4 linked regions of the Arabidopsis thaliana genome follow. The protein of the gene in region 3 interacts with the protein of the main gene of each other region in a pairwise test. Each region holds a gene or a part of one and is shown on either strand. Other genes may lie near its edges.

Region 1 (5,475 bases), on a different chromosome or scaffold from region 3:
ATTCGTTTTTATAAAATTACAATATACTGTAATATTGGTAAACCAGTCATTCCATCATTTTCATATTTTAAATTCATTAGTTTAGTCTTTGCCTCTTTTGCCACCATTTTCTCTAGGATTTCGTATGATAAAATAATAACATTATTTTCGCAACAAATATTAATTTGTTTCCTACAATTGTGTGAGACCACAAGATATTCATGTGTGCATTTTTAGACAAACAATTTGAACCATTTATTTTCCGAAGATAAAAGATATCAAATAAAAACTCATACTATACTATACAAAAAAATGTGTGGTAAATGAACATAACTCCCATGGGGACTACTCATTAAAAACCAGAGTCAGCCTTGTCCTTTTCAATAATTGGTCCAACACAGATATCACACGCAATAGCAATTTCGAAAACAACGTGAAAACAGAAAAGCAGTGCCCTTAAATCATAGTAATTACATTCATACAATATGTGGTTATTTGCAAGCATTATAAACTTTACATGCATAAATAAACAGAAAAGCCCATAAAGCATGGTTGGACTCAGGTTGAGAATACAAATAACTCGGCCCAAAAAGATCATTACGTTGTTCGGATTTGAATAAACGAAATCAATGTGTACGGATCAAGTGAGTCAAAGTATTTAGTTATAAGTCATAACTAATATACGTATTAAGCTCATTGAACAAACAAATACAAGATTATCAGGAAAAAAAAAGAAAGATAATTTGTTCAGATTATTATTGGATACTAGTGGTTGGAACTGCTATTTGGACCATATGTTAAGGAATTTGTATGCTGGCAGAATAGTGAGTTTATGGAGGGACCCATCTCAGCCTAAAATAATTCTTCCTTTGAAACTAACAAAAAAAGGGGTCCCAAATTAATTAATTTCAATGCTTGTAAAGTCAAATGCAATTTTTTCAATGGACATATATGTAACATTCGCTTTTTACAAAATTTGAATCCAATCTTAAGTGCAAATTACTAAGCAAAGATAAATTTTAATTCTTATAGTAATCGTTGTCGTTTTACATACTTTTACTCATAAATTAAACCTTTTTTATTTTAACTAAGAACGAAGAAATTAAGGGAAGTGGCGGTGTAACATATACACAGAAATCCAAGCTGGTTACTTTTCAATCCACCTGTCAGCGTCATGTTTATCCAACGGATGCAAATTCAGATAACAAAAGACACGTGTCAGAATCTGAGCTTCTCAGATGCCTACAAGGCAATGAAAACGTTAAAACAAAAGCTGAACGAATATTACCAAAAAAGGGTCAAAGTCAACAAAAACAGACGAACATTGCATTAAATTGGGTTATAGTTTCGTTAACCAGAAATATACACCCACAAAGAAGAAAACAAATTGCGATTTCGAACGTAATGCTACACGACAAATTCCCACAGTAAAAAATGTTATTCGTTCAACAACAAAATTTGGTTAATTATTTTACGGTCCGACAACGCGACGGTAATACCCTCCTTTGTCCCCGTCTAAGGACAGTGACAGTAAAATAATTTTTTTGTTTATTGACATGTTCATAAGCTAAGAATTTAGATTAATATTGGAAATACTAAAACCCAATCTTAAACCAAACACGGATATATCTTTTGACAAAATAAGTCGTTTAGCTCAAAATCTATATAGTAAACAATGACATAAAATAAATTTATAATTTCTACGCCATCGACAATATTAATAAATTACTTGATCGTTTGATTACGTAACATGTAGAGATACAATAGAAAAATAATACAAACCTGATATTGCATTCATTGGGTACTGCATATATTCACATGCCATTTTCTAATTTTCATCTGTGTACATCGTCTATGATATAATCTTTTCCATAAAGGTGAAAAAATTATTACAATATCTATTTACTCGTTTTGTTTGGTGCTTTTAACCTTTCTACACCGTTTTCAATTTAAAATCTACAAAAAGATTATTCTATTTTAATTATTTGCATGGGAGTCCAAAATACAGATTTAGATACTTGGAACTTGAAAGTCGACACAATTATGTATAAAAAATGTTTGTTAACAAAAAAAAAAGGGTGAAAAGTTGAGAGAAAAAAATTAGTATAATTGTCTCCAGAGAGAGAAAAGAAGAAGAAGGCTCCTTTTTCTTGGACAAGCCAAAGAAAAAGAAAAAAAAGGTTGAAGCTTTCACACAAAGTCTCACACACAAGCCGCCTTATTTTTTTTTCCGGTGATTCTTCAGAGAGAAACAAGCCGGAAGTAGTAAGGATAACTCGTCTCCGGTGAAATCTCAGCCGTTGGATCAGATCGGTGGACGGTGGATAAAAGATGCGTGTGGAGAAGAGAGAGTCTGGGTTAAATGATTAAGAGATTTCTTGGGTAATGAAGTTTTGATTTTTTTTCTTTTTCTTTTGGGGGTTTTAAATCTTTTTGAAGAAGAGAGGTCAGAGAGTGAGTTATCAGAAAAGTTTGGTGGCGGAAAGGGGAAAAGGAGATTTTTACGAAAAGCAGATTGACTGGTAGCTGAAGAAGAGAGAGAGAAAGAGAGACTAAACAGAGTAGGAGGAGGATGATAAACCCTAGATTGAGCTGAGCTGAGATTTGCTTCTTCCTTTTTGTGTTCAAAGATTGGAATTTAGTATCTTTGAAACATGCCGGTTGATTTAGATAATTCCTCTACAGTTTCCGGCGATGCAAGCGTCTCATCGACCGGAAACCAAAATCTAACTCCTAAATCCGTCGGGAAGAAGAAACGGAATCTTCCTGGAATGCCTGGTACTTCTCAAAAATCCAAACTTTTTTTTTTCTGTTTTTTGAGTTTGAAATTTTCTGTTTTTAGTTGTTCTCACTGATTGTCTAAATTCAGATCCAGACGCTGAAGTGATAGCTTTGTCACCTAAAACACTTATGGCAACGAATCGATTCGTTTGCGAAATCTGTAACAAAGGTTTTCAACGTGACCAGAATCTTCAGCTTCATCGTCGTGGTCACAATCTTCCATGGAAACTTCGACAGAGATCGACTAAAGAAGTGAGGAAGAAGGTTTATGTTTGTCCTGTTTCTGGCTGTGTTCATCATGACCCTTCACGTGCTCTTGGAGATCTTACTGGAATCAAGAAACACTTTTGTCGGAAACACGGCGAGAAGAAATGGAAGTGTGAGAAATGTTCTAAGAAGTATGCTGTTCAATCAGATTGGAAAGCTCATTCGAAGATTTGTGGCACCAAGGAGTATAAATGCGATTGTGGAACTCTGTTTTCTAGGTGGCGACAAATTGTTATAAACATATTCAAAGGTTTGATCTTTCTTATGGATTTTACTAACTTGTGGATTGGGTTTTGTTGCAGGAGAGATAGCTTTATAACGCATAGAGCCTTTTGTGATGCCTTGGCTGAAGAGAGTGCGAAGAATCATACTCAAAGCAAGAAACTTTATCCAGAAACTGTCACTAGGAAGAATCCTGAAATTGAGCAAAAATCTCCAGCAGCTGTTGAGTCTTCTCCGTCATTACCGCCTTCTTCTCCGCCATCGGTTGCTATAGCTCCGGCACCGGCTATTTCGGTTGAGACTGAGTCTGTCAAAATCATATCTTCCTCTGTTTTGCCGATTCAGAATTCTCCAGGTACATAATACAAACTCTCTGTTTGATGGCAAAATGTGGCAAAATCGCTACATGTAACAATTTATCAATTCTCTAACCGAAACAAGAACTCTTTAAAATAATCCAACTGTAAACTGGTCGGTGAACTTGGAGTTTAGTTGGTTTTGTCTGTAGCGCCGTTATATTTCTGATGTCTGCTAAAAAACTGAATCGTGTTCGTCGTCTTCCATAGCTAAGCCTATAATGTATCCATTAATTATAATTAAAGCCTCAAAGTTTATGTCCATGACTCATCATCTCTTTTTGTTTGTAGAATCTCAAGAAAACAACAATCATCCTGAAGTCATTATTGAGGAAGCTTCAAGAACGATCGGGTTCAATGTTAGCTCATCGGATCTAAGCAATGATCACAGTAACAACAATGGTGGATACGCAGGTTTGTTTGTATCATCAACAGCTTCGCCTAGTTTATATGCTTCCTCAACCGCTTCTCCAAGTCTATTCGCACCATCGTCCTCCATGGAACCCATCTCTCTCTGTCTCTCGACGAACCCTTCTTTGTTCGGACCAACAATACGAGATCCGCCACATTTCCTAACTCCTCTCCCTCCTCAACCGGCAATGTCAGCTACTGCATTGCTCCAAAAAGCTGCACAAATGGGTTCCACGGGATCAGGAGGTTCGTTGCTTCGCGGGTTAGGCATAGTTTCAACTACTTCTTCATCTATGGAACTCAGCAATCATGATGCATTGTCATTAGCTCCTGGTCTTGGACTTGGACTACCTTGTAGCAGCGGTGGTAGCGGATCGGGTCTAAAAGAGCTCATGATGGGGAATTCATCGGTGTTTGGTCCGAAACAGACGACACTAGACTTTCTTGGATTAGGAAGAGCTGTTGGTAATGGTGGTAATACCGGAGGTGGATTGTCTGCTCTGTTAACTTCTATAGGTGGTGGAGGTGGAATCGATCTGTTTGGATCAGGGGAGTTTTCAGGCAAAGACATTGGAAGAAGTTCGTAAGAGAGACAAAAGGCATGAACGTAGTAGACCAGTGTAGTATATAGTTCATCAAGTTTGTTTCAGGTTTTAGATGTTTTGGTATCTTGTTTTAGTGAAAGCTTTAGTTTTATTCCCAAGTGGGTTTTCTCTCAAGTACATAAATCTCCTAGCAACAACAACAAAATATATTGTTTTTTTTTTGGTGTGTGGTTTATTATAACTCACATGTTGTACTTTGAGAGATAATTTGAACTCGGGTTGTGACATGACAGCTAAATTATTACAGATGGTTACAAATCTTGGTCTAGTTCTGATGGAAGTCTCTACCATGTGAAAACAATCAATGGGGTTTGAAGTTTCTATTATTGGGTGTTGCTTGCTGTCTTAAAACGCTGAATCGAATTTTTGCATTAATGGGAACAATTCGTAGATGAGATTGAATTGACTTCTCCCAAAAGTGATAAATTTTTTGGAAGGTGGTGATATTTGTCTAAAAACTTGCAGAACTAAAAATAGTCTCAATTTGGCCAGATAATTTGAGACTTGACCAGTGTGATTTGATTGGAGAATCGACCAAAGATTTTGGATTTTGATGTTTCAATCGCTACGTAGGTCCATTATAGTGATAGAATTATCATGACAATTCAACCCACAAAGGCACTATTTTGTATTTTATTTTGGAGAGCAAGATAATTTATTTACCCACATCATATTTACTGTATTACAAAATCGGAAGTTTAACAGAAATCAGTAACTATGATTAGTGTGACTTTATCATTTGATCAATATTGATATGCTTGGACTCGAGCAATGATCGTGTAGTTTTCAATATTAAGAAAATAAAATTGGTTGTGTACAGTAAGCAAGAAGAGAGAAGCCTATTGGGGTTGATT
Region 2 (5,397 bases), on a different chromosome or scaffold from region 3:
ACGGTAAAATATCAAACAAATTGAAAGGGTAAAAAAAAAACAAGAGGGACAAGTCACTGTTAGAAAGGTGACTCCTCCCTTTGGGCCAGCCCCCTACCACAAAAGTCAAAGCTTACTTACTATTCAGTCATATATCGACACGTGTACTTCGAACCACATCACCCATCCTATTACGTAATTTCCACTGTCTAGACTTTTTTTTTTTTTTTTTTTTTTACTTTTTAACGTTTTTTAGCTGTCTCTCTAAATTACTACATACGGACTTGCTACGTCACCTGAGAAGAAAGATCTTTGCTCGTAGATTCTTTGTCTGAAGGAAAATTATTTGTATTTAGTTATTTACAATTGCATAATTGTGTGTAGTAAATCCGCCAGAATGATATTAGAGTGATACTGAGACGACGAATGGTGTAACTTGTAACATATATACTAATAAACACGATTGATTAAAAATTTACTATACAGTATATCCAAAACATTATGATTGAGAGTGTACATATACAATAAGTAATTAAACCTCAAAACCAAACAGTTTTTTTTTTTTTTGGTCAACAATAATTAGAAATGAGAATAAACTATTTAACTTATAAATTCTAGACCCAAAAACTCATATTTTACCCTTCTTGGTCTCACCTAAAAAGACTTTAATTCCCAAAACTCTTGCAAACAATGGCCAAACATAGAAGATTGGAAAACAAATTTAAATCTACTTTCACTTTTATAAAGAATAATCAACGAACCAATTAAGTTAAACCTACATATATTCGTATGTGATCACATATGTGTTATATTCCTCACGTTCTCTTCCATTTAGCTAATAACCTTAATTACTTCAAGAAATCATATATCAACCGAAAACTAGTAAAATAAATATACATACTGAAAGCGCGCAAAATTTTTAGCAATATTTTAAAATACCCTACATCATAGTCTTAACTAATTAATCTTTCTGATCAAAATTTATTTTCATAATATTCATAAATACTTATGGATTACCTAAACCAGGATACTTATCCCTATAAATCTGTCAATCATCATGGATTCATGGAGACATGGTCAGATATCCCACGTCCAGATACAATGTAACATATTGATATACTGCGGCTGATTATTATTTTTTACATTAGAACGAGTTTAGATCCAAAACAAAATTGGTATTCTCAAACAAAAATTAAAAATTGAATACGAAAGTAATAGAACAAAACTTCAATGTTGTCGAATAGATAGGAAGCAATAGAAAAGCGACACGTACATGTCCATTTTAAGGTAGGAGAGGCTTTTCTGCGGCTTGTGAAGTAAGAAAAAGAAAATGATGATAGCTGCTTTCGTTTCATTCATTGCAGAAGAAACCAATGTTTCCCCAATCTCACGCGCCTCCTCCTATCTACCACCACTTGGACAAATCCCCTTTTCAGTATTAGTTTTTTTTTCCGGACATTGTACATTCAAAAGCATTCCAAGTGTCTAATAAACATAACTAACCACTCCAAGATGCAAAATCTAGCTACGAACAAATTTTAAACTATAGAGATGAACTTTAAATTCGGGCATTAATTAGTGGAACTTGAGCTATTGATGAGTTTTCTGACTTTTTGAAGCTTAATTGAGTTTTATATACACTATATATAGGCTTGTAATAATATGGATCAAACAAGAAATATATAAACTACAAATTGGGAATTAGGTTTTAAAACGTTATCGTTCTATTTTAATTCAGGCACCTTTAGAATATCAAGATCCATGCATGTTTCAATATTTCTGTTGACAAATAAATAAAGATGTCTCAAATATGAAGTTTGGGCAACGTACGTGTAGACCTAAAAGAGTCGAAACATTGGTATCTAAGTCATATATCTAGATGTATATGGACATGGATTATATAACTAGACAACGTTTGTTTTAAAAACTTAATTCATTTTTCTTAATTAGTAGCAACTAGCAACTAACTACTCATGGCAAATAATGGTGTCTGCGTGGCACGCACTTGGGAGAGAAGGTGTGAGAATGTTTTTTACTTTCTGTGTAAAAGATGGAAGAGAGAGAAAGAGTAAAGAAGTAGAGAGAGAGATATTGTATCACCAAACCCTAATGATCTCTCACCCTCACAAATTTTCTTATCTTTATAGCTTTTATAGATTCACAAAAACTTTTCTTCAGATTCACAATCTCATCACAACCCTTCAAAAAGAGAAAAGATCTAAAGAATAAACAAGAGCCCTAATATCAAATCACAACCAAAAAAACCAAAGAAAGCTAATTAAAGTTTTCTCTCTAGCTATTCCTCTTCTTTTCTTGTTCTTGAAAACTAGGGTTTACTTCACCAAAAGATAAGATCTTTCCCCAGAAAAAGCAATACCCAAGTCATGTTTCTGTGTGTCTGTATATAGATAAAACATTACATACCCTAATAAGGTTACACAAATAGCTATAAAAGAGGGAAAATAAGATAGGGATTTTTTGGGGTGAGGAAAGATGGGAAGAGGAAGAGTAGAGCTCAAGAGGATAGAGAACAAAATCAACAGACAAGTGACGTTTGCTAAACGTAGAAATGGTTTGCTGAAAAAAGCTTATGAGCTTTCTGTTCTCTGCGATGCTGAAGTCTCTCTCATCGTCTTCTCCAACCGTGGCAAGCTCTACGAGTTCTGCAGCACCTCCAAGTACTTCTCTTTCTTTATACACTTATTAGATCTGTGTGTAGATCTTTCATTTTTCTAGTCTTGTGATGAGTTTTATCTTTCTTGATTGCTTTTTAACAAAATACTTGATATATTTTCAGTTTCTTAATCTGATCTCTAATTAGGTTTTGATTATAGAAGAATAATTCAGTACTTTCAAGTGATTGAATTTCGAGATCTGATCTTAATTTAATCATCATGTCAAATTCTTAGGGATTTAATTGCAATCTATTTTTAGATTTATCGGAGCTAGGAAAGTATCATAATGATATACTATTATTATCATGTAATTTCATTGTCTCTACACGGATATATATGTGATTAGAACTTGGTAAAGTAAACTAAAGATTCACAGTCTTCAATGAAATTTAAAAGATCCAACGTAGAATAATTAGTGGTTCCATGCATTAACCAGTCTAATTAAAGCTCATGCAGACATTTAAGCACCACATGAATTTAATATCTTTTTAATTAAGGGATCTTCTTTTTATAAATTTTCTTTTGTTAGTTTTTAAAATTTTAGTTTGTTCATTAAATTTATAGATTCTTCTTCTCCTGATTTGTGTTTTTTGATCTTTCAGCATGCTCAAGACACTGGAAAGGTATCAGAAGTGTAGCTATGGCTCCATTGAAGTCAACAACAAACCTGCTAAAGAGCTTGAGGTTTAATCTCCAACATCTCTTCGATCTTAATTATTTATCCTTTTTTAATTTTATCTAAAGAAAATGTTTGATTTTGAGACAAAAGCCCTTCAAAGTTTCTTACATAGATATTCAATTGTCTATTATCTTCGCAATTTTCAGAACAGCTACAGAGAGTACTTGAAGCTGAAAGGTAGATATGAAAATCTGCAACGTCAGCAGAGGTATATACATTAATGTGGATGATGATCATTTATAAACAGCATATATATATATATATATATATATATATATAGTTTGTATTGATCATGAAAGTGTGTTGCTGCAGAAATCTTCTTGGAGAGGATCTTGGACCTCTGAATTCAAAGGAGCTAGAGCAGCTTGAGCGTCAACTAGACGGCTCTCTGAAGCAAGTTCGCTGCATCAAGGTGATTTACTTCTGTACATACACTGAAAGATTCACACAAATCTTTCTCTATATATAGACTGAGACACATGCATGAAATGTTTTTGATGCGTGAGGTTATCTGAAAATGCCTCTTCTTTTTTGCAGACACAGTATATGCTTGACCAGCTCTCTGATCTTCAAGGTAAGGAGCATATCTTGCTTGATGCCAACAGAGCTTTGTCAATGAAGGTATATGATGATGTTTCTCTCTCTCTCCTCCAGTTTCTATTTATAGATGGAAACTTTAAATAGTCCAATTTATATATATGAGTCTAAATTTCACATTCTTCAACTGCTACATGTTTCTTTTGTATTATTTCTATGATATCTTCAGGAAAGTTTGAAAAATATTGTGTTTTGTTTAGCTGGAAGATATGATCGGCGTGAGACATCACCATATAGGAGGAGGATGGGAAGGTGGTGATCAACAGAATATTGCCTATGGACATCCTCAGGCTCATTCTCAGGGACTATACCAATCTCTTGAATGTGATCCCACTTTGCAAATTGGGTAAATCAAACAACTTTTCTTGCCTTAAGACATCAACTTAGGTTATAAACAGTTAGCAGTTTGCTTTAAGCCCAACATTGTCTTTGTTTCATAGAGGCTTTGGTTAAAACTCGTGTTGTTTAGTCTAAGGATTCAGCACTTTGATGTCTGAAGTATGGAAAATCAATATCTCAGACTTGAAAATGTGGGTTTCTATTGTTGACTTCGAAACTATGTTGTTGTGGTGTTGCAAACAGATATAGCCATCCAGTGTGCTCAGAGCAAATGGCTGTGACGGTGCAAGGTCAGTCCCAACAAGGAAACGGCTACATCCCTGGCTGGATGCTGTGAGCGATACTTCTTCCCCCAATAAAGATCTTAAGCAAGTACTGGTGGGGTCTTCGTGGTGTGATCTTAGATCTTATGCATATGAATAATAATGTTATTGCACAAGACTTTTGCTTTTGTAGACACAAGTGGCTATAGCTGTAATAGCCTTCAACATCTCTCTTCTGTTTCAGGATTTGTTTGTGCCTATTGTAATTGCTTATATATGTATGGTTTGTATAATGTGTGAAATGTTAACATCGACCATGTCTCATCTGGTGAAGTACTTATCCTGTCTATGCATGATACAAAAAGACGTGGTTAGATGCTAACCGCAATCGCAAACACAGCTTGTGACAAAGGCATATAAACTCTCAAGTTAACAGTGACATTCAACAGATCACAATGCCACCAAGATGTAGCTTTTATTTTCGATTCTAGTGTACAGAACATATAATTACAATATCTGGATCTTACAGAGGCAGGACAAGTAATGAAATCTGTCCTGAAAAGTTAAATGATACAGAGAGTTCTGCTGAAGAATGTAATTTCTGGTTTGCTACATTCTTCAATTTCTCAATAATATAGGACCAATTGTAATAACTTCCAACAATACTAAATTGTTTCGGAGTTTGGGGATTGTGCTTTTTAATATACTTCTTCCCCATTAGTAAAGTCCCCATCAAGTAACTGCTCCCTGAAACACATCAAGTCGCATTGTTTAGCTTTACTTGACTTGGATTCTTTCTAAGTTTCAAAGTTTAAGGGGTAATGAAGAAGTTTGTCCAAGAACTTCAACTTTGCTTACCTCAGTC
Region 3 (3,867 bases):
AAACATTGTCGCAACTACAAATTGGTCGACAATTTAAAAATCGTATTCAAAATCAGTAGAAGACGTTTTTGTCCAACAACAAAAAATAATTACTGTTTTAGCTTTCTGATAATTTAGAGTAAATTATTTTCATACAAAATCTATTAAAATAAACTGTATTTTTTAAAAAATCGGATTTCAGGCCCTGTGCTCTTTTCTTACTATTTTTATTAAAAGAGTCACATTGGTTATCATGTCAGCAACAATATATGACACATTCGGTTGGGCTATAGGCTTCTGTTGATTTTGAACTTCTGGCCCATTAGGGTTGCCTATGAGCTTTTCTACGAGATGGGCTGGATTTCCCTTTGTTTGCATGGGGCTTTTTTAATTTTTAATTTCTGTTATTTAAATTATGTTTTTACAGATCTAAAGCCCATTGTGTTGTGTCCACCTTATGATCCTGAGAAGTGAAAAAACCAAAAAAAAAGAAAAAACGGAAAAAAACAATACATGACATTATTTTTTCTGCTCCTTTTTAGGTTACACGAGAAAAAAATACCATAGTATTTTATCATTTAAACATTGTGAAAACCCAAATCAATTATGTTAAATATTTTTCAAGTACGAGAAGTATTTATATCCACTTAATCAAGTATCGATTTCGTTTTGAGAAGAAAAATCAAAGAAGAAGACTCTTTATCAATCTTTAATTCTATTTATAAAAAAGTAAAGATTTGGTCTCAAAGACCTGATCCAAGCATTGGCTCGTGGACTAGTAAGAAAAGATTTAAATAATGAAGTCAAGAATTCAAATGTTTTAACCCGCTTTATTTGTCTTATTCATTTCTTAATTAATCATGAGAGTAGACATAATGAAATAGATAATAATCTCATTTTTTTGGAAATATTTGTACTCGTCGTGCCGAGAAGACCGATTCCTCGTTAGCGCGTTGAAAAAGTTATTTTCATAAATTTTCGTTTTTCTATTTCCTCGTACTTTATCTTCTAAGTTGTAAGTTGTAACCAATTACTTTTTTCGTAAACTGGAATATATAAAGAATGTAATTTTTTTTATCTACAATTTTCCAAGACTAATTCTCTCGGTCTCAGGTCAAGTCAGCCATTTACTTTTTCATCTAGAAGATTATGATAGTTTAAATATAATCCATAATTACCTTAGGAAACATAATCCAAAACATATTAAATATTTAAGAACGATATATAATTAACGTCATTTAGTTTTCTAGAAAGTAAACGTTCTATATAATATGAATTGAGATAACAACAAAAAATTACGATATTAAAAGAATTAAAACGGAGAAAGACTGTATTAAACGTATAAATTTTGTAATACGTAGTTACGTACTTTCGTAGCTTAGATACAAATACAATTTACTATTACATTAATAACCGGCATCAAAATAAAAACAGTTACTTGCTAACCAATGCAATCAAAGTTGTGAATCCTAAATTTCTTACACAAAAGCTCGTTGAATATACTGGATCAGGCATATTCTAAACATTGAAACTACTAGTATAAATATTTAAAATATGATAAAATCATTATAGTTATCAACTCCATTATACTAGTTGTACATTTATATATATAACTGGAGGTTAGAGGTGCATGGTGGATTAAATTACAGTAATTCACACTGAAATATGTTATCACATAAGCTGGACCACACGGACAAATAATAATCCCATTTGTTGGCTCTTTACTACATTTCCTCTCTTTTCAGTCTTGAAATATTTGTAACATAATATTACTTTCATAAAGTTTGCTTACGATAATATATTTCTTAGTCATATTCACATTTATTTGAATGTTAGGAGACCGATTCTTCCCTTGATATCATTGCCTTTTTCTCACCATATACATACATGTACAGACAGAAACCCACTTGTCATCATTCTTCATAAAGCTAACTTGCTCATATATATACACATATAGTGGAGAGACTATAGAAGATAAATACCTAGAGAACAAGATTGAGGGGAAGGGAAATAAAAACTAATCCAAAAATCTAAAAGTGAAAGAAGGTAAAAAAAAAGAATAAGAAGAAAATGGGAAGAGCACCGTGCTGCGACAAGATGGCGGTGAAGAAAGGGCCATGGTCGACGGAGGAAGATGCCGTGCTTAAGTCTTACATCGAAAAACACGGCACCGGCAACAACTGGATTTCCCTCCCTCAGAGAATTGGTATTTCTATAAAATCCTTTGTTTGATTTTAAATTCTTTTATATACTTTATAGTTGTGACATATAATACTTAACAATTTTACATTTTGATGAGAAGGGATAAAGAGGTGCGGGAAGAGTTGTCGTTTGAGATGGCTTAATTACTTGAGGCCTAACTTAAAGCATGGAGGCTTCACCGATGAAGAAGATTACATCATTTGCAGCCTTTACATTACTATTGGAAGCAGGTTTGTTACCTAGCTAGATCTCTTATATATTCCTATTATCCTATATGATATAGATATGATTTTATTTAAACGCTGCATCAATAATTGGTGTATATTTATTAAAATGAAGGTGGTCTATCATTGCTTCACAATTACCGGGAAGAACAGACAACGACATCAAAAACTATTGGAACACGAGGCTGAAGAAGAAGCTATTGAGCAAGCAAGGGAAGGCATTTCATCAACAACTTAATGTCAAATTTGAGCGTGGAACAACATCATCATCATCGAGTCAGAACCAGATCCAAATCTTTCATGATGAGAACACCAAATCGAACCAAACATTATATAATCAAGTGGTGGATCCATCAATGAGAGCTTTTGCCATGGAAGAACAAAGCATGATCAAGAATCAGATATTGGAACCATTTTCTTGGGAACCAAACAAGGTTTTGTTTGATGTTGATTATGATGCAGCTGCTTCATCTTATCATCATCATGCATCCCCATCATTGAACTCCATGAGCAGTACTAGTAGTATTGGTACTAATAATTCATCTTTACAAATGTCTCACTACACCGTCAATCACAATGATCATGATCAACCAGATATGTTCTTTATGGACGGGTTTGAGAATTTCCAGGCCGAGCTATTTGATGAGATAGCCAACAACAACACGGTAGAAAATGGCTTTGACGGAACCGAGATCCTGATCAATAACAACTACTTGGATCACGATATTAGCTCCTTCATTGATTATCCTCTATACGATAATGAGTAGATGATGGATTAATTAGATCATTAATAGATACAGATATTATATGCCAATGTACTTAGGTTAAATCATGTTTTTTGTTTGTCTGATCTCTTAAAATGTTGAAGGCGTGAAAGAAGAAAAGCCCTAGAAGTGTATTACACAAAGATTTTTGCTCTTTGCAATATGAATAAATGATGATATCGTTTTATTATATTTCTATTTTAATGTTTATCATCGGTCATTTATTTAAGCGAAAAAGCTACCTTTATTATGCTCTCGTTAATCGAGCTCAAGGTGATGCTGAAAGAATGGGAATCCTAGGACTTGATGTTTCTACAATTCCTCAAAAATGAAGATATATACCACGAAAGTTTGGGAGTTAAGCTTGTCAATTTTCTTTCTTTACAGAAAGCAGTTCTATTAATTTGATCATCAATCAGACCTAATAAGTAAGGATCATAAATTGTTTCTACAAAGATGTTCATCATTAGTCTAGTTTCATAGACGACATACATAAAATAATATGATTAACTTTTATAATAACTACAAGTATCATAATATTTGGCGTTCTTTTGTTGAGAACAATCATACATTCATAATAAACTTTTTTTGTTTCTTAACTCCAACCATAATACTATTTTAACCCCCAAAAAATCATAATATTATTATTAGTTTGCATATGTTATATGTAGTAGTGAGTAGGATACCATTAGAAATCA
Region 4 (4,004 bases), on a different chromosome or scaffold from region 3:
TTGTGTGTATTAAGTCAATTGTTTCAAGCGTTTTATTAACCTGTGGGTGTTATAATAATGCAGGAGAAGGCTCCTTATGTGGCTAAGGCTGACAAGCGCAAGGTTGAGTATGAGAAGAACATGAAAGCCTACAACAAGAAATTGGTAATTGTTTATTTGCATATAGAAGGCTATGTTATGTTTATATTAACCACGTTATTGAGTTGTCTACTCTCTTTATACTAGTCAGTAGTCACACTATTCAAGGCTTTCTTAATTTGTTTACTATATATTGAAGTTTGAGTTATGTTTATTCTAAACAATGATGATACAAGCAACTGGTAATTTGGTTAATGGGGGTGCTTGAATAATGGTGGTGTGTTGTGGTTTCAGGAGGAAGGCCCTAAGGAAGATGAGGAATCTGACAAGTCAGTTTCAGAGGTTAACGATGAGGATGATGCTGAGGATGGCAGTGAAGAGGTAAGTTATTTTACACCTCTGCAATCTAAATATCTGTAGTATGAATCAGTAAAGCTTTGTATTAACTCTGTTATACATGTGATGTAGGAGGAAGACGATGATTAAGAAGTTGAAGTTGTGGTAGCGTAATATAGAAGGCTGCAAGGAATCTCTCGGATGTTTTTATCTCCTCTCTTAAAATGTTAATTCGGGTGGTTAAAGTGGTTTTTTTTTTTTTTCTTTTTCTTTTTCTTACTGATGTTTCGTTTTAGTAAACTATTACCTATCTCCCACTGATTCTACGGGTAATGGAAAAAGTGAATGTAGAATGTTTAGATGGTGAAATGAGAGATTTGTAGCTCTATATAATGAATGATTTAGTTTTTAATTCCTCTACGTTTTAATGCTCTTTAGACTCTTTGTTTCTAGTTGATATGAGGATTTATACCCCTGAAAAAAATATTAGTGTAAACCATGTTTTTACTTAAATCATATTGGGGTTGTGAGTCCTATTGCATAATCACGCTCTTAATCAATGTGTTCCACAAAGAGTAAACCATGTTTTCACTTTTTATTTAGTTATTTGACTTTAGACACAGGTTGGTAAAATTGTTTTGAGGCTATACTTGAATTTTCCAAATTACCAACGCCATGATCATTTGGTTCTCTTTTCATCTTTTGAAAAAAAAAAATGGTTTGCATCAGCTTAATTAAGAGTTTCTCTTTGGATTGTATTACTTCGTTTGATTTAAGAAATAAGTAAAAAATTTGATCATTTTTGACAAAAGTGAAGATTTTAGTGAAAATCTGCGTATTAGCAGCAGAATAGTCTCACTTATGTTATAAATTTTTAGTCAACATCTTTATATCAAAGAACCTTTTTGGTCAAATTCGTACATTTTCTTCTTAATCAACTTAGAAAAAGAAAGAAAGCATGCTCTTCTTTTTCCATCAATAGTTTAATCATTAGTCATAAGTCACAACGATAATATTTTATATAATGCTGTGATTAAGCCTTGCTTCCGGCTTTACCTAACCACTATATACATAAAGTAAGATACACAGTTTGTGTTCCTCTACGGATGTAACAACAATACCTGGTTTTAATTAGGTTGTTTTTATATATTAGTGTGGTGTCTTATTATGTCATCAACACATAGGATTAAGATCTTCTTAGATACATATTTTGGATTAGCACATTTTTCTATTTCAAATGGTAGATATCTTGACCCGTAAAACTCGATTAAAATGTTGAAATTCTAACAAAAAATTGTGAATACCGTCGACCAAAATCTATCCTAGTGAAAGGCCATAGTTCTCCAATGTTTTCAATATGTAACCAATGTAATAAACCTGGTAACTGTAAAAATTAAATTGGTCCAATTGATCATTAAACAAAGACATCTTTCCAAAAAGTGTTTGATTTAACGGTAACAAATAAACTAAAGATCCCTTTATTCATAAACAAAAGAATATATATATCATTCACTTTCTCATTGTCTTGTTCATATGGTAAAAAAAAAAAAGGAAAAGGAGAAAAGCAAAGAAATAGAGGAGATGGATAGAGAGATCCAAAACGGTGCGTATAGTGGGAGAGTGATGACTGAGGAGCAGATGGAGATTCTCCGTAAGCAGATCGCCGTTTACGCCGTTATTTGTGACCAACTCGTCCTCCTCCACAACTCCCTCTCTTCTTACCATCCACTCTCATCAGGTACACTTCTCTCTGTTTTTGTTCCTGATTAACAACAATCACTTTTCTATGTATTTGATTTTTTTACAAGAGACCATTTGATGAGCTTCTTTGTATACGGTAGAAGAAGTGTGTAAGACGAAAGTGTTTAAACGCAGCGTTTTTTGCGATGCAAACGTTGTTTCCATTAATACACTTGACCCATTGAGACTTTAGTGTAAAAATGTGAAAATTGTGTTTGCGTTTGGTATACAACTAACGAAATCCAAGGCTTTTTTTTTCCCAGTGTTCGATGCATAACTTTGAATCAAATTTCATAATGTTTTAGACATTCGAAGACAGTTTACCTACCGCTTAGATATCGATTTATCATTGCTAAAGATATTTGTTAATATAGTTTATGATTTGCTTAGATCGAACAATTCAATATATTATTAATGTTTATTTTCTCTAGACGTAAGCTGATTTGAGGGTTATCATGTCGTGGCCGATTTTTAAGAAGCTTGAGTTATTAGTGCTTTGTGGTTTTGATAATACATATTTTGTACATGGAAGAAACTTAAGGGTCACGTCACTTATTTTTTTATAATGATTGAGTGTAAAAAAGGAGTGAGGCCAATGGTTGGCGGATACTTTGATCCGATGGGGGCATCGTCAAGTTCTCATAGGATATCGACTAGGCATCGGTGGACTCCGACTTCAACACAGCTTCAGATACTTGAGAGCATTTACGACGAAGGAAGTGGAACACCGAATCGACGGAGGATTAGAGAGATCGCGACGGAGCTGTCTGAACATGGACAGATCACGGAGACAAATGTCTACAATTGGTTTCAAAACCGGCGAGCTCGGTCCAAACGAAAGCAGCCTCAAACGACGACAGCTAATGGTCAGGCTGACGATGTGGCGGTGACAACGGAGGAAAGGAGGAGTTGTGGAGATTCAGGGGGATTAGAGTCTTATGAGCATATACTCTTCCCAAGTCCTGACTTAGGTAAAAAGATCATTTGAGTTTTTAAACATTTGGTTAGGTTTATTTTTTATTTTTGGTTTGAGTTTGCATTTTTTTTTGTGGTTTCAGGGATTGAGCATTTGTTGAGTATAGGGAAATTTATGGAGACTTAAAATTCGTATAGACTTCGATGAAGAAGATCTCTAATCTATTCTGTTTTCTTTTACTCTGTTTTCATAAAATAGAATTGTGTGTGTTTGTGTGTGACATTAACAACAAGTCTTCAATTTTATTATAATTTTGTGTTCCTCAACTTGATATATATGCCCACATCTTTTTCAGCATCAGAAAGAAAAGTGATGCCATCTTAAACTCGGTTGATATTTTGACCGGTAAATCTCAATTCAAATGACACTAAAGAGTAGAAGCAATTGACCATAATAACCGATCCTAGTCATGACCATAGCTTTTTTCATTGTTTTTAAATTTATTGTTATCACACAAAAAATCATATAAAATCGGATATTGGTTACATGACCACACAATTAGAATATATATCAATTATTTATCCAATTGAATCCCAAAATTACCTCAATTAACTAGTAATTGAAAAAGAAAAAAAATCAGACAATTGATCCTAGTTTGACATCTTTCCATAAATTGTTTAAAGTTAACGGTAACAAATAACTAAAGATTTCTCAAAAAGAAAAATACATAACACCTTCACTTCCACATTGTCTTCTTCATATGGTAAAAAGGAGAGAGGAGAAGGCAAAGTGGTGAAAGAGGAGATGGAGCAAGAGAGCCTAAACGGTAGGTATGGTAGTAGAGTAATGACGGATGAACAAATGGAGACTCTTCGTAAGCAAATCGCCATTTACGCCGTTCTTTGCGACCAGCTCGTCTTCCTCCACAACTCTC

Evidence for each region.
Region 1: the proteins of MYB87 (region 3) and IDD1 interact in a two-hybrid assay, tested with the Arabidopsis thaliana proteins (one large-scale study listed by BioGRID).
Region 2: the proteins of MYB87 (region 3) and SEP2 interact in a two-hybrid assay, tested with the Arabidopsis thaliana proteins (one large-scale study listed by BioGRID).
Region 4: the proteins of MYB87 (region 3) and WOX14 interact in a two-hybrid assay, tested with the Arabidopsis thaliana proteins (one large-scale study listed by BioGRID).

The regions. Positions count from the first base shown.
Region 1 is NC_003076.8:26,641,042-26,646,516, reverse strand, and holds IDD1 (C2H2-like zinc finger protein), read left to right. Parts: upstream 1-1,778; 5' UTR 1,779-2,633; coding exon 2,634-2,757; intron 2,758-2,848; coding exon 2,849-3,245; intron 3,246-3,329; coding exon 3,330-3,604; intron 3,605-3,896; coding exon 3,897-4,603; 3' UTR 4,604-4,931; downstream 4,932-5,475. UniProt on the Arabidopsis thaliana protein: Transcription factor promoting the transition to germination by regulating light and hormonal signaling during seed maturation. Acts as a positive regulator of phytochrome and/or gibberellin action.
Region 2 is NC_003074.8:463,763-469,159, reverse strand, and holds SEP2 (K-box region and MADS-box transcription factor family protein), read left to right. Parts: upstream 1-2,008; 5' UTR 2,009-2,472; coding exon 2,473-2,657; intron 2,658-3,256; coding exon 3,257-3,338; intron 3,339-3,479; coding exon 3,480-3,541; intron 3,542-3,645; coding exon 3,646-3,745; intron 3,746-3,870; coding exon 3,871-3,954; intron 3,955-4,099; coding exon of another isoform or gene 4,100-4,130; coding exon 4,131-4,276; intron 4,277-4,512; coding exon 4,513-4,606; 3' UTR 4,607-4,881; downstream 4,882-5,397. Other genes in the region: AT3G02300 (Regulator of chromosome condensation (RCC1) family protein), read right to left, coding at 5,231-5,279, 5,391-5,397. UniProt on the Arabidopsis thaliana protein: Probable transcription factor. Functions with SEPALLATA1/AGL2 and SEPALLATA3/AGL9 to ensure proper development of petals, stamens and carpels and to prevent the indeterminate growth of the flower meristem.
Region 3 is NC_003075.7:17,757,709-17,761,575, reverse strand, and holds MYB87 (myb domain protein 87), read left to right. Parts: upstream 1-1,829; 5' UTR 1,830-2,049; coding exon 2,050-2,185; intron 2,186-2,281; coding exon 2,282-2,411; intron 2,412-2,520; coding exon 2,521-3,172; 3' UTR 3,173-3,344; downstream 3,345-3,867. UniProt on the Arabidopsis thaliana protein: Transcription factor that functions as a regulator of genes affecting cell wall organization and remodeling. Activates genes related to the primary cell wall and represses genes related to the secondary cell wall and expansins.
Region 4 is NC_003070.9:7,180,611-7,184,614, forward strand, and holds WOX14 (WUSCHEL related homeobox 14), read left to right. Parts: upstream 1-1,947; coding exon 1,948-2,152; exon of another isoform or gene 2,153-2,719; coding exon of another isoform or gene 2,720-2,738; coding exon 2,739-3,125; coding exon of another isoform or gene 3,126-3,142; exon of another isoform or gene 3,143-3,212; coding exon 3,213-3,256; 3' UTR 3,257-3,446; downstream 3,447-4,004. Other genes in the region: HMGB3 (high mobility group B3), read left to right, coding at 64-150, 380-459, 547-583; WOX10 (WUSCHEL related homeobox 10), read left to right, coding at 3,875-4,004. UniProt on the Arabidopsis thaliana protein: Acts redundantly with WOX4 downstream of the TDR/PXY receptor kinase to regulate procambial cell proliferation and differentiation in vascular tissue, independently of any role in vascular. Involved in the regulation of gibberellin (GA) biosynthesis pathway.